Drosophila melanogaster: one gene and its partners. The protein of the gene in region 2 interacts with the protein of the main gene of each other region in a pairwise test. Each region holds a gene or a part of one and is shown on either strand. Other genes may lie near its edges.

Region 1 (3,930 bases), on a different chromosome or scaffold from region 2:
GGAGCAGGGAAAACTGGTTGATGTGCCCTCCGATAATCTACATCCACTGCCACCAGATGAATTCAAGGCCTGGGACTTTGCTCGCAAGCGGCCCCAACGTCTCCACAATAGCCAAATGGGGAGACAGTCGGTACAAGGTGATCAGCAAGGATTCGTCCCTGACCCGATGCCTGGTACGGCTCCCTCGATGCCACCACCACCGGTGGCCGATCCTCGTCCGGTTAACGTAACAGCACAGCAGCCACCTGTTTTCGGGCCCTCTAGATGGATGGAACCCACCCGGCCGTTGATGCCTAATCCTTTGATGATACATCAGACAGGATCGTTCGTTTTCGTCCAACAACCACGAGTTGGTCCGCCGTCGGTCATGATGCACGTTTTGATAATTGTACACAACGCACCATACATGCTTGCGTTTGATCATGCCCCCCACCCGCCTGCACCCCAGTGCACTGCCCCATTTTAATATATTTTTTTCTTGTTTTTACAAATATGTCAATTTAAATATTTATATTTAACATGTTTAACATGTCGAAAATCAGAATAAAACGTGAAAAACAGAAATATTTATACGTTTATCATTTGCAGATCTTTATATATTTATTCAAATTACCTAAACATATAGTTTACAATTAGTATTTAATTCTAGCCTAATAATATTTACCATTTAAGTTTTAAACTTTCAACGAAACTTAGTAGACTATATATGTATAAAGAAAATGTGATGTGTTTGCCAACTAATGAAGTTCGTCTCCGGATGTGACCTCCACTACCGATCGCACCTCTCCGGACAAACGACTCTGCAGATTCTTGTTGATATTGTCCACCATGTCGAAGGCATCTATGATCATTTGGGCCTCGCCCTGCGCCTTTTCGCTCATCTGTTCCAGACTTTTTCGCAACTCCCTGTGCTCTCCAGTAGTGTCCCGCTGCTCCGCCTTCTGATACAAGCTGGTTCGCGAGAAGAGGGCGGTGGACGTCATGTGATCGGGGTGCTTCTCCAGTTCTTCGGGCAGTGGAAAGTCAATATCAAAAGAGAATCGTTGCAACTCCTCATACTTCGCGTCCTGGACCTCTTTGTCCTGGCCATAGCTGATGACCACCGCCTGGAGGACGATGTCGCTACCAGGAAGTTGCATGTAGGCAATAACGTCCTTAAAGAGATTCTCTTTCCTCCACACGGTTTGTCTGTACTGCACCACCTGGTATACCACCATCTCCGGTTCGGGACTGTATTGCACCAGCATCCAAGTGTCATCATTCATGGCCTCCGGTTCAGCTTCCAAATTATCATCGAAGGCGAGATCAAAGCTTCGCGCTTTCAGGTGCAGTAGTATCTTTTCCATATAATCACGACTTTCGTAGGCATATAGGATGTGGGCAATGCAGCCGGGAGCCAACCTCACCAGAGGATTACCCTTCAGCTCGGGCTTGGTGCTCAGCAGCATTACATTGTTTGGAGAAACAAGTTTCTGGATGAGGCGCTCGCCCGCCTTTTCATTCTCGGTGTACTGGACCAACAGTTGCTGGCCGCCGGCATCTTCCCTCTCCTCCTTGCTCATGGACAGCAATGCTGCATCCACCAGGCGCCTCTCATCCGCTGCCAGTATGAGTTTCGCCTCCAGCACCATTCCATTGACCCGGAATTCTACGAATCGGGTCATGTATTTGTCTGAAACATCTGACTCTAGGAGTTCCATCGAATGGAGAACGCAGAGACGGCGTCGACCATTTGGCTTCCCATCCTTCATCAAGCCGTCATCGACTTCGGCCAGGAACCAGGATAACCGAGTCGCTGCCAATGGTCCATTGGCGCTGACAACGGCTCCACTGTTCGCGGAGTCATCCAATCCACTGTCGTTGCTGATGTTGCTCATGATGGCGGATGTGTTTTAAATATGTTCGGAAAAGATTTGAACAAAGTTTTAATTGATATAATTGGCTTGGCTTTGGTTCTTTTCTACGCGTCTTGTTTGAATGTCTTGATAGGTGAAGAGTTCTTGGCAAACTGATGAACTCCTCCTCGCTGCAAGCTATTTTATAGATGTAAATGGGTTTAGTTAAATGGTTCTACCTGCCGTAAACTCCATACTTTTATCTAGGCTTTCTAATGTCTAACATCTGTCAGTTCGAAGGGATTAAAACTTGGTCCGGCTCATACTGGGATCTAATGTTCTAATTGTGTATTACCTGCGAAGGACGCTGATTGAGCGGATTTTCCCAATGTGCAGCTGCTTAGTGGCAATAAATGCGAATTGCAAGTTTGCGACATTTCTACATAGGAAAATAATTTAATAAAATAAGACAATATATTTTCATAAAAAAAAATTCTAGAAAAATGTTGTTACAAAGTCTTAAGGGAAATTTAAATGGTATGAAAGCTAAAGTGCATTATGGCTATCGAACCCATATGATGAATCCTATTCATCATCTTGAACGTCATTACACTGGCCAGAAATAATGCGTAGGAATAAACTGGATGTCTTGGCCACATCGCTCAAATCCTTAGAAGAAAAATTGTCAACCAAGCTACTAGTGACCGCTCCTCGGCCAGTTAGTTCTCGATTTCCCATTTTGAGGGCATTGGTCACGGAGAAGAAGCGGGACGCTTGTCCAGCGGGCAGACCGAGCACACGAGTGCAAAATTCGACGACCCTTTCCTTGTCGGCACTTCCATCTGGTGCAATCTCACCGCCGCACTGCCGACGGCAAAGTTCGTCCAGTGGACAGTCCCTGGGATCGTACTGCCTGTTTTTGTCCAGCTCACAGAACGTGGGAATGTCCTCGAATAATCCTATCCCGATAGCTTGGTTGATGGCCCTCCCACTTCCCAGAATGCAGCCTAGGTCCTTGCCGGTTGCCATCTCACGCACCTTGATGTGGTAGACATTATCCTCTTGACGCAGTATGGTAAGGACCACGTCATCGAAGGGCCGCTGCCCAATTAGCCGAAATATTTCATCCATCAAGGAATCCAGAATGGGCAGACTGCCATCGCCACAGTATTGACAACCACGTGGCGGGTTATTCATCCGCTGGGTGTTCCTAAAAATTGCACTTGGTTTAGATTCTCCTTCTAGTTGACAGGAACCCCTACGTCCGTTCGCATCCAATTCCATATCCGACGTCTTAAGTTCCGATTTCAGTGCAGTGGATTTAATATTATGAGGAGTTTTCGAACAATTGAAGCTGGTCATCGGATTGGCACCCAAAATGGTTTTCTTCTCTGATATGCTCACTTTTTTGGGTCTGTCCTCCTCGAGGCTGTTGGATCTCGTAAACATTTTTACGAATTCCGGCAGTAAGCGATCGAATGAGTAGGACTCTGATTGGGCATTCTGCGCCTGATTATTTTCACACGACTTGGATTTTGTGAAATGACTAATAAGCTGTTCAATAAAGGATTTGTATAATTCCTTCTCTACACTTTTATTGGATTGTTCGGAACTCTTTGCCTCCAAGCAAGATGTGGAGGAAACCTTTGATTTGGGTTTTTTAACAATTTCACCCAGTAAGTTTTCAACCCCATGTTCAGTATCATTTTGTTTCGTGGGATTTGCAGAGAAAGCTGAAGTATTTCTAGACTTGTCGGAAAGTGTTTCTTCGCTTTTTGTTTTAGCAAAAACCCGATTAAATTGTTCTAGAAAATTTTCGGTATCTTTTAAGCATTGTTTAGCAGTTGGGAATTGGTCACCTTTCAGATGCATTTCATATCCATTCGCCTTACAACATCTCCGATTGTCTTTGCTAGAACTTCCATTACATTCTCTACTGCATTGTAGACCAGTTGAGTTTTCCGAGTTTATTGGGGTATCTGTGGTGCGTTGAGAATTATTTGATTTCTGCTTTTCTTGAGCAGTTTCAGGCTTCAAAAATATTTGAATAAATTCTTTGGATAGCGTTTTGCACTCGCAATTAGCTGTATCTTTT
Region 2 (4,417 bases):
ATGGAAGACAGCGTCTTGCCCCTCCTGGATACCCAAGACCTCAAGTGACTAATGCACTCAATTCAGTAGTTCTAAGTTGTAGTTATCGTACGGGAAGCATTACAAAAAGAAACGATTAATTCCCATTATAAAATCAGACTTGCTGTTGTTTAGAAAATGTTATGCATTGCCTTAGGAGCGCGTTTTGAGCAAATCTCGATACCAGTTGGGCAGGATTTGATGTTCCGGACCGCGCAGCACTTCGTAGCTGGCGTGCTTATTTAAAAAAGTCACCTGGACCACCGCAAACGGATCGTTAATGTTCACCAGCAGCTTCTTAAGATTGCGCAGAAACTGTTCCAGGTACCAAGCCATTGCCGATGCACTCCACGGTTTGTTGCGGGCCAGTGTTGCCACATCGATCTCATCGATCCTCTGCAGCATGCCCTTGGTGTCGCGGAGTCCCACGTAGAGCGTAGTGATGCCCACCAGGAATGACTGACTCCACCAGTTGGCAGACTTGAACGATTTGAAGGTGCGAATTTGGTGAGGGTTCATATTGAAGACGCTGGTCTTTAGCTCTACGAATTTCAATGAGTCGAGCACTCTGCAATCTTTGAAGTCACTAATGGGATTCGTGTAAGTGTATACACAAATAATGAATGGATGGAACATTAATCATTCATAAGTATTTAAACCCTGGACCACTCACACTGGCTCCTTGCTGTCCACACAGTCCAGTTCGGCGCCGTATAGCATCAAAATCCCGGCCAGGTTCGTGCGGTACACGCCCATGAACTCCTCTGCCTCGTTGACCGGCACATTGGTCACCGGTTTTCCCTGCGCCTGGGCACTGGTCAGGTACTGCTCGAACTTGAAGCCCCAGGAGCACATGACCCGCTGTGCCCTGCTCATGTTCGCGTTCTCCAGCTGCTGCTCTGGGGTTTCCTCCTTGCACATGTAGACGTTGCCGTTCAGGAGCGTCGCCTTGACGCGGAATGAGCGATTATCATACTGCAGGCACATTATCTGCCGCAAAATACCGCGCAGTGTTACAAAGTCGCTGTCCAGGCGTAGATTTCTCGCATCGGAGCTACTCTGACGGAGCAGCTCCTTCTGGTGTTGCTTAATGTAGGTCAGCATAATTTCCAGATCCCGTTTGCCGTTCTCGACGGGCTTACGGATCACATCCTCTATACCCCCGTTAAGATCGAACGGCAGCGGTGGCCACGGTTGGCCAGCCAAGTAGCTGGCGCAGCTGGCGTCGTCCACAAATTCCCGGCTAGCGTTTATGCTGCACACACCGATGCACTTCGGGCGGCTTATCGAGGGAAACGGCGTATTGTACATCGCGCCCAGCTTGTGCTGCCCCCAGGGCACACTGATGAAGCCCGCGTTCTCGGCCATTTCCTTCGCCTCCGCGGATTTTCCAAGTTCAAACTATAATTATCCGGAAAATAACGCTAATATTTATTAGAGGTGGAGAAAAATCGCAAACATCGATGTTTTTCGAGGAATCATCGATTATTTTCTTTCTCCACTGCGCAACTAAATGGGCTAAGACCTTGGGAAATGGTTGTGGTGAGAATCAAGTGTAGGCGATTAGTATCGAAAGCTAAATTGTATTAAAAATGGGATGATGATGTGCTTATTAATTTTAATGTAATAAGTGAACGCTAATGATGATAGTACCTCGATGAAGAGAAAAAATTTTGACTCTTAGATTTGCTTTATGTTCTGTTTGAGCACGTCTATTCACCACGAGGTATTTGCAAGCTTAAATCAAACAATTTGTGTGACCACAGTCATGGGAATCTAAGAATATACTAAATACCAAAATAACACGAAATCCGATTCGGTTTTGTTCATAGATTTGTTTTTATGTTTATTTGTAACCACCAAACGTGGCTGGCCAATGAAGCATCTCCTGGAGGATCCCTCGGTCCTGGCCGAGCTGCAGGTGCTGCCGGATAAGACCGGTGGTGTACAGGATCGACAGGAGGCCGCCAAGAATCCTGCAGAGAATTCCGTGCCCGACGAAGATTTGCCGGCTGCAGGAGGCGATTTGCTACGCGTTAAGGATACTCTGGGCCAGCTGGCCTGCAGTCTGCACAAGCTGTCCAAAAACGATCACATAGTCATCGATCGGTGGGTAGTAATCCCTATTTTTTGGAGCTTTCATTCACCTTCTCTGATCACGTTCCGTGATCTTTTATTCCTGTGCAGAAAGCGCCATCAGGTGATTCGCACAGATGCGGCTACGCAACAATTAACGATTTACCGCTGTCCGGATCCCGCCGTCATGGGGATTCGCCCGGCGATAGAGAAAAATGCCCAGAATCCGCCTGCCAAAGTGGGTAGACCATCGAAAAGAGCCTGTTCGGTTGCCACCGCTCCTGTGGCGAAGAAACCAACACTAGCGGAGCAAAAACCTGCTCCCGACACCCATCGCACTAGATCCGGTCGCCAGGTGCGCAGCTTGATGCCACAGCCCGCTCCCGTGACCAGTGGCTCAGCGGTTGAGCCAAGTTCTGCCCGCATGCTTGAGATGCTGGTGGCCGACTTGCGGGACAAGGACTACCGGGCACCCATGGCAGCGCCGAAAAGCACGAGTGTCAGCAGCAGCGTCAGTATAAGCCAGGAACCGACCACAACGACAACCATCCAACGAGCCGTGCCCAAAAATGCCGTTTGTCCCGGCTGTGGAAAGATCTTTTTGGGACGCCGTCTGCAGCGTCACTTTGTCAAATTCCCAGAGCACATGCCGCGTCCGGGCGAGCAGACACCACCTGTAGCTGTAGCTACAGTACCATCAACGGTTCATCCTCCCTCCACGCCGTCGCTGTTCGGCCTTCTGACCGCCCAACTGCAGCGGCATTCCCATCTCAGCGAGGAACAGCGCTCTGATCTCTTTCTTAACGAACTTAACGACTTTGTGGAGCAGCTGCAATTGCGCAGCCAACGGCTTATACGGAATACCTCTGGACTGCATTTTGTAAATGCACGAATTGCACGAGTTTTGGGCATACCCGAGGGTCAGTATGCGTTGGATATGTCCGCCATGGAGTCGCCGCTGGCACCGATGCCGGAATCAGAGGGAGCGGCCTTGGTTGCCGGCAGCGGTAGTGAAGGAGCCCGCAATCTGGTGGTCTACGCAGAGTTGAGCATGTCGCTGGACGATCCGCTCACAGACGAGGCTGCACAGCGTCTCAATCTATCGGCGGGCGGTCAACTTCATCCGCCTTCCGAGGAGAGTCTGCTTAGAAACGTCAGCGATCTTATGCAGCCGCCAGTGGCAACTGCTCCTCCGACTGTGAACCATGGCTACGATCATGCCAGCGATAATGCCGTGGAGGCCCTGACCATGAAGGAAACGCCCAACACAGAGGCTATTCTCGATCTCAACGTGGACTTCTTCCAGTTCAATCCGAATTAGAAGGGACAAATGTATAGAAAGCGCTTAGCTAGCAATGGAGATGAAGAATTCTATGATAGAGTGAAAGGTATTTCAACTACTTTTTAACTTGAACACTGAAAAGGTTCTAAAATATGAAAGTTTAAAACATTTATTTTATTTATCGTGCATATTGCATGAAGAAAGTCTCTGAAAATTGAAACGAACTTTTCTAAGTAGATTAAAATGTATTAATGGAGTATGTAAATATAGAAATAGGGATCTCTTAGATACATTTTGGTATTGTATTTTGAATTTTTACTGAATATTAATATTGAAATTGTATAATTTGAAAAGTAACCTCATATAACCTCCAGCCAAAAATCTATGCAATTAGTACGCAAATGTAAATGGTTGAGTGGCAAAAATGCCGCATGCGGATGGAGATTATTTATGAAGTACTTAACTGGCTAACGAAAGATGCCTATTAAATGAATTTATCTTCCTTGATTTTTGAAATTGTTGCGTTATTATTTGCTGGAACATTTGGAAGTGAATAAAAATCCTGGCCAATTTAGTTTAATGTATATATGCTTGTGGTTTCTAGCAGCTTTTCATACTTTTCATTTGTGTTTACTGCAAGTCAATTAAATTGATCGCAATTTTAATGGCGTTCAGCTAAATGGTAAATTTCTGTGAAAAATTATTATTGCTTTTAGTACAAAGCTGCTGCTTAAATAAATCCCTTTCAATACCTGTGTGTATTACAATATCTAGAATATCTTTATTGAAAAGCGTGCGTGTATCTATGTTTACTTTCAGGTGTAAAGTTTATTTGCCACGATGTAATCATATTTTCTGGCCATCCACTTGATTTTCAAAATACGTGGAGGATGGCAAGGGGGTGGCTAAAATCAATTTGGCAGTTATCACTGCAAATGGACGACCGTGTTTGCCTTGGTTCAATATGATTAAAGCTGATGACCGCCATGGAATTGCACCTAAAAGTGCAGTCAGAAAGTGACCTATAAATAGCGGAGATTC
Region 3 (2,821 bases), on a different chromosome or scaffold from region 2:
CGTTCCTTCTGGATAAGCTCCTTCTTCATCTTCTAGCTCTTCCCCTACTGTGAGCCCCGCCTGCAGCGCCCAGCCAACTGGCAGCTGACTTGTTTACACAACACTTTGCATGTGTGTTTGTGTGTGCGGCCATTGCACATGTGTCCATGTCCATGTCCTGCAGGGGGAGTGGCAGGGGCGGTGGCGAAAGGATGGCAAAGTCAGCAAGCAAAGCTCTGGCGGCTTAATGGACGAAACGTGCTGTTGAATTAATTTCTGGCTTTATGCTCTCAATTTTTTCCTTCCGTTTTCCATTCAGCCGCCTTCGTTTTTTCTGCCAGCAGGCAGAAATATATGTACGTCTATGTATTGAATTTCAATTTTTAAGTACTTCAAACATTAAGCCCTACTAAAAACAAAATAAAGAACATTTTAAATAAAAAAAAAACCATTATAAAATTAAACGAAAATTCATAAACACTGACTGGCTTTTTACACAAAAATTAAATATATTAATAATTATGAAAACAATAATTTTTATTATAATCTACAATAGATTTGTGAGATACATTTTTGTTTGTTTGCTTACTCTGTATGAAAAATGTTCAATTTTGCTTGCTGTCTCAGCTCAAATGGGGCTGTGCATAAAGCCTACGAAATCGCGCAAGCTTATGCGACCATCGCCATCCATATCGACTGCTTGGCAGATATCCTTAATATCGTCATCGGTTACGACTTCGCCCAGGACGACCATAATGGCACGAACATCCTGGACGGTGACGTAGCCGTCGCGATCGCGGTCAATCATGTTAAAGGTCCGGCATAGACTTTTATCACTATCCACATTGGCCATTCGGGGCGCCATCATGCGTATAAATTTTTTCAAGTCCAGCCTCTCCTCGTCTCTCACAGCCACCGAATGGATGAGATCGTACAACTCTGCCTCAGTGATTTCGTAACCCACTGATATTAGAGCCAGTCGCACCTCGTTGGCTGATAATGTGCCATTCGAGTCCAGATCATACTTTTCAAAGGCATCCCTCAGTTCGTCGATATGCTCATTCGTCAGCTCATTGCCGGAAAAAGAAGGCATGGCACTAGCAAATAAAACCCTAAAGTAGTTCAGGAAAATCAGGAATACAAAAAAAAAAAGGAGAAATGGGGAAAAACCGATGTGTATGAAAACTGACAATCAACTCAACTCAACCGAACTCAAACTCTGTTCTCGATGGCTAATAAAACACTTAGGCAAGCAATTGTTGTTGTTGCGGTCACAAACTTTTCCGGAATAATAATGCATCATATACTCGTACAAGGGGCAATAAAGGGAAAAAATAAGGAAAGCAGAGATGCTGAAGCATGCAACGTTTGGAGAACCATCCATCAATTTGTCAATTCAGCGCTTGCCTTTGAGTGGCCGTCCATGGGACAGGAATGATGTTAGATGACGATGATGATGATGATGGGCAGTAGTTGTGCTGTGGAGTGCTGGCCATAAAAAATCAAGCGGGCATATAAATTGAAAGGATGCTCTTGTACTAGCTGAAAGGATTTTTTGTAATCCCTGTCCAGTTTCAAGTAATTATATTGAATAAATGCTATCATAGTTGGACTTTTAAATTTCAACCATACTGTGAAATATTTTTGAGAAAATCCTAATTAAGACTGCTGTAATTTCAGCAAATAAGAAAACATTTATTTAACCACACCTTCTGTCTAATGCTTCTACCTCCGCCTCCTCAAATCCCTACAATCGCAGGGGACGCGAAGCCACTGACTTGTCAGGGATTTCTAGGCTTAGAAATAAGTTTTCCGACAGCCCATTTGATTCATTCAACTTTGAGGCCTGCTCTTGTTGCGTTCATTCCCCCAAAGACTTTGAGCCGGATGATAAGCAAATGAAATGTTGTCGCCGTCCCACATGACGAATGATTAATGACACGAATGATACATTTCTCCCGGGGGCAAAAACCACGCGCCACGGCCAGTCAAAAGTTTAAACCCAACTTTAACCATGGCAGGCACTTTTTCACTCGGTGTCACGGTGCCTGGCTGCAAATTTCGCTAGTCAGAGCTTAGTGGGGGATACTGTTTGCAAAGTGACTGAGTCCGGAGTCTTCTTCTGCTACATTAGCCTACTTCCTCCGCTCCACAAGCAACAGCCCACTCAGGATTCCTCTGATGCTGCAACAACTTGTGCTTGTGTATTTGCTTAAGCCGAGCTCGCTTTCCTGTTTCCTTCCGCTGCCTTTCCACTTTTCCACATTCCCACCGCTTCCATGAAAAGGGGGTGGGGGCGCAATGGCGAAGGGGCGCTGGGGCGGGGTCTCAGGAAAATTGATTTTGAAATAGTTGGTCTGCCTTTTTAAATTTGATTGACGTTATTACATTACATAACATCGCACACTAAGAGGAAAGGCGAAGCAGCTGGCTTAAGTTATTCATCCATTTAGCCCCACTTAGGGGCGGGGGATGGTGGTGGTTGGCAGCTAGGGGCGGCGGGTGATTGTGACGGGCAACAACAAGTGGAAAACTGTCATTATATTTGAGTTATTGATGGTTTTTTTTTTTCAAAATCATTTTGCAACAATGTTGCTGCTACCCAACCGCACCGACACACTCACACACACACCAACACACTTTAGTCACACGCTGACAGGATCTACTCCCCCTCAACCGCCACCCCCTTACCCTTCCGCACACACACACACACACTGTTACATTTACGCTTAGTTAAACGCATGGCTGTGGCTTGTTAACGCCGACAAGCGCAAAAGTTTGCCGTTCGCCAAATGCTTGCGATAATCGACAAGCTCTCACATACTCAACCGAATGCACTCAA
Region 4 (4,061 bases), 1.3 Mb from region 2:
GCACAGTGTCCATTTCGTTCTTCTTCACTTAAAATGCATCCTCATTGACCACCAGTGCATCATCTCCTGCCGGGGATTCCTTCCACTTAAATTGCTCTGCGTCTTGTGTTCCCAAGCGATCCGTTTGCTGGACAGGGGGTACATTCTCCTGATCCCCGCCAGCTGCCCTACGAAGTTCCCGGCTCAGCAGCGCTGATATGGCATTATCTTCTGAAGAGCGATTTTCAAATGTTCGTTGTTTACATTTTGAAACGGAACTGCCAACTTGCGGGAACAACAGGGAAATCTTAAGGGCTAGCGACTTAGAAATACCCTTTTATTCAATAAATATTTAAGCTCAGACCAACTTTGTAAATATGATAGTAAACTATTTTCTTATTATAAATACATGGTTGCTTAAGAATTAATTGCACAAATAGTAAGTCAGTAATAAAATTGACTTACAAAAAATTAATCCACCTGTTGCAACGACCTGTGCAGCCAATACACCCCAGCTATCCCTTATATATAACCAGTGTTGAAGAACAGCAGGCAGACGCGCCTCCAAAATTTGAAATGTGACATTGTGTGTTTAATAGCAATTATTACATAATTTCGGGACAGATAATAAAACTTTTCAGCTTAACCACTAGACAATAGATAAATGCAAACTGATCGAGCCACTTCCACAGGTCCAAGACAGTGCTCAGCCGGATCTAGGGCATCATGCGCAGAGCACCGTCGATACGGATGACCTCGCCGTTGAGCAGCGGATTCTCGTAGATGGCCTGCACCAGGTGGGCGTACTCACTGGGCTCGCCCAGGCGCTGCGGGAACGGTATGGACTTGGCCAGGAAGGTGCGCACCTTCTCCGGCAGGGCGGCCAGCATAGGCGTGTTGAACAAACCCGGTGCAATGGTGCAGATACGTATGCCCTGGGTGCTCAAGTCACGGGCAATGGGCAGGGTCATGCCCACCACGGCTGCCTTGGAGGCGGAGTAGGCCGCCTGGCCGATCTGGCCATCAAAGGCAGCCACCGAGGCGGTGTTCACGATCACGCCGCGCTGTCCATCCTGATTGGGCTCATTGGCGCCCATCAGTCCGGCGGACAGACGGATCACATTGAACGTGCCCACGGTATTGATGTTGATCACCCGCTGGAAGTCTTCCAGGCGGTGCGCCACGTTCTTGTTGAAGTTGAACGTCTTTACCGCGGTGGCTGTGCCCGCACAGTTCACAGTCAGATCCAGACGACCGAACTTATCCTTGGCCGTCTGCAGAGCGGCGCTCACATCCTTCTCGGAGGTCACGTCCACGGGCACGAAGACCACCTTGTCGCCCAGCTCCTTGGCCACCTCGTTGCCCTTGGAGGAGGGCAGATCGGCCAGGATCACGCTGGCGCCCTGCTTGGCCAGGCGCTCGGCGGTGGCGCGGCCCAGTCCAGAGGCTCCTCCGGTCACCAGGGAAACGGCGTTCTGGGGGTGGGAAAGGCATGGGGTTAGAAACTATATATATATGTATATATCCAAGGAAATAGATTCTAAAAATGCACTCCATTCCATTTCATCCCAACTACAACATCAATGTTTAGAGATCTTAACAGAATAAGCATATAGAATGCAAAATATACGATCTGTAGGACTGAGATCCTTATCTTTAACAACATTGAGAAGTTGTCCGTTAAAGTTAGTATAGAAATAGCACGATCCTCAATTTGCAGATAAACTTATAATCCGATGCCGGTTTATCTTATTATTTCGAAAGCAGCTGACCGATGCGTTCGGTGTCCAGTTTCCCGATAAGCCGCATTGTATTATTGTATAACTCGGTGGGGAAGTAATGCTAATTGTTGGCTGGGTACAAGGTACATCGCTGTGGGCAGAGATACAGTTATTTATGGGACTCCATGTTTATAATAGACACGAGTTCACATCCCAATTGGACTTTGCACCCCGGCCGCGCAGTCATCGGCCGCTTTTGCTGCACTAATTCCCGTCTAATCGCAGTGTGATCCTTATTTACAGCACCCCACGTACCTTGATCATTGTTCTGGCTGGTGGCGTTGTGTTGTGGGTGCGAAAGGCGGTGGTTACTTAGTGCTCGGCAAAGCTTTTTAAGCAAAAACTTGTTAAGCGATTCGAAACCGTGCAGTGTGACCGTATGTGCGCCGCTTGAAAATACTGCCTACCGGTTAGGGGGCTCCTATCATTGGCTTAGCTTTTAAATTTTGAGTTTTTTTTTAAATTTAAATTTAAATCAATTTGTTTATTACCAAGCAATTAATTTGCAAGATTTTGAAAGAACTTTTAAATATAAATTACCTCGAGCAGGCAAACAGTGAAGATTTTATTTGGCAAGCTAACTAACTTGGCAACTTATTATTTCAAGAACATGTTTTTGCAACAATTAAGGTGGCAGCATTCAAGTCTTTATAAATGAAATCTTTAGCTATTCAAATTCAATGGCTTAAAACAACTTATGCTATAGATTATTACAGTAAATTTTAGTTATAAGCTATTCATTGTATGAATTCGTATTTAGCTTCCACGCCAAAATGTATGCCGTAGAATTACATATACTCATTTAATTTATTTTATGGTTTATAACTTAAATTAATTTGAACATAAACATTTATGCTTTAAATAAAAACAAAACATTGTTTCTGTTTAATTTAAGATTATTTTCATTTTTAATATTTCTTATTACTTCACTTAATAAATAATAATTAAAAAAAAATATTGCTTATATAAATAAGGAGTATTTTAAATAAATCATAACAAAGTTATATCCGAATTTAATTTATACCCCCAATTTATATACTTTTGTCCTCCGATGTATGGAAGAACATCGATGATTCCTCGAAAAACATCGATGCTTGTGATTGTTTGAAAAGATCGATGATATCGATGATGTCATCGATGTTTCTCCACCTCTAAGTCAGATTGCCTATTGAAATACAAAATAAATGAGTACTTCCTAGAAATCAAATGTTAAAGAACACAATATGTCGCTCGGTGGAGAAAGTAAGCACACGCCAAAGTCTTCCAATCTGAGGCCGTTGGACGACGACCAGCTGGTTAGGATCATCAGCACGCCACGTCCGTCAAATGGTAAAACCCATGCAAACTGCGCGTTTGCCAGAATGCCAGAACCAAGATTCAACTCCACTTTTCCACGCAATATGGCAAGGAGTGAGCCAGCATCCCGCCCAGGACCGCCTCAAGCGCCTGCAGGGCCAACTAAAGCGGGTGCAGGACAACGAGAAGGAGCAGGGGACCACCAAGCGGATCACCCACAGTTCCTCCGCATCTCGTCGATCAAGTGCGTCCACATCTACGCCCCAGCGACTCCTGAAGTTTCCGCCTAAGGTGGCGATGAATGCCTGGGAAAAGCCAAAAGCCCTGGTCGATGCCAATCGCCTGAAGGCGGGACGTACCCAAACTGGTGAGTGCCCGGTGCATATAGTTACTCATATCCCATGTTCTCCTTATCGTCTCCCTAGCCTACCAGCGTCTCATGCTGTTAAGAGCTTCGCTGCAGCAGAAGCAGCTATATGAGGAGCGCAACAACAATATTGTGGCCAAGATCAACGAAGAGGTGATAGAAAAACAACCAGAAGCCTGCAACATCACAAATCCAAGTGCATTTGATGGCTCGACGGCCAGCGATATGGAGGTCGAGCCCATGGAATGGCAGGAGTCTATTGAAGAGGAGGCGGCACAGAATGATCAGGATGAGGCTAAGAAAGGGGACGACACTCTATTGATGCTGCCGGCGGAGTCCATTGAAGAGGAGGCGCCACAGAAAGGTCAGGATGAGGCTAAGGAAGAGGACGACACTATATTGATGCTGCAGGCGGCCGATGCCGAGGAGCTGCCCCCAAGGCTTGAGGATTACATGTACTTTGTGCTGGACACCAACGTCCTCATACACAACCACAAGTTCGTGGAGAGACTGACCGATGTGGTGCTGCCGGGCACGGTGGGCAGCATGCTGTACCTTCCGTACATAGTAATCAAAGAGCTGGACAAGCTAAAGAGCAAGTACCAGTCGGACTGCCTGCAGCGTGTGATTGCCATGCG

What was found.
Region 1: the proteins of CG13005 (region 2) and Elba3 interact in a two-hybrid assay, tested with the Drosophila melanogaster proteins (one large-scale study listed by BioGRID).
Region 3: the proteins of CG13005 (region 2) and CG13526 interact in a two-hybrid assay, tested with the Drosophila melanogaster proteins (one large-scale study listed by BioGRID).
Region 4: the proteins of CG13005 (region 2) and scu interact in a two-hybrid assay, tested with the Drosophila melanogaster proteins (one large-scale study listed by BioGRID).

What each region holds. Positions count from the first base shown.
Region 1 is NT_033779.5:4,685,596-4,689,525, reverse strand, and holds Elba3 (early boundary activity 3), read right to left. Parts: upstream 2,016-3,930; 5' UTR 1,878-2,015; coding exon 738-1,877; 3' UTR 570-737; downstream 1-569. Other genes in the region: CG3251 (uncharacterized protein), read left to right, coding at 1-466; CG11929 (uncharacterized protein), read right to left, coding at 2,421-3,930. UniProt on the Drosophila melanogaster protein: The heterotrimeric Elba complex is required for chromatin domain boundary function during early embryogenesis.
Region 2 is NC_004354.4:16,801,866-16,806,282, forward strand, and holds CG13005 (uncharacterized protein), read left to right. Parts: upstream 1-1,784; 5' UTR 1,785-1,894; coding exon 1,895-2,127; intron 2,128-2,205; coding exon 2,206-3,415; 3' UTR 3,416-3,889; downstream 3,890-4,417. Other genes in the region: CG4789 (uncharacterized protein), read left to right, coding at 1-48; Rai1 (Rat1 interacting protein 1), read right to left, coding at 172-604, 692-1,386.
Region 3 is NT_033778.4:22,753,576-22,756,396, reverse strand, and holds CG13526 (uncharacterized protein), read right to left. Parts: upstream 1,179-2,821; 5' UTR 1,073-1,178; coding exon 608-1,072; 3' UTR 501-607; downstream 1-500.
Region 4 is NC_004354.4:18,089,345-18,093,405, reverse strand, and holds scu (scully), read right to left. Parts: upstream 2,148-4,061; 5' UTR 2,025-2,147; coding exon 2,016-2,024; intron 1,852-2,015; exon of another isoform or gene 1,752-1,851; intron 1,455-1,751; coding exon 696-1,454; 3' UTR 553-695; downstream 1-552. Other genes in the region: Swt1 RNA endoribonuclease, read left to right, coding at 2,984-3,089, 3,169-3,423, 3,482-4,061. UniProt on the Drosophila melanogaster protein: Mitochondrial dehydrogenase involved in pathways of fatty acid, and steroid metabolism.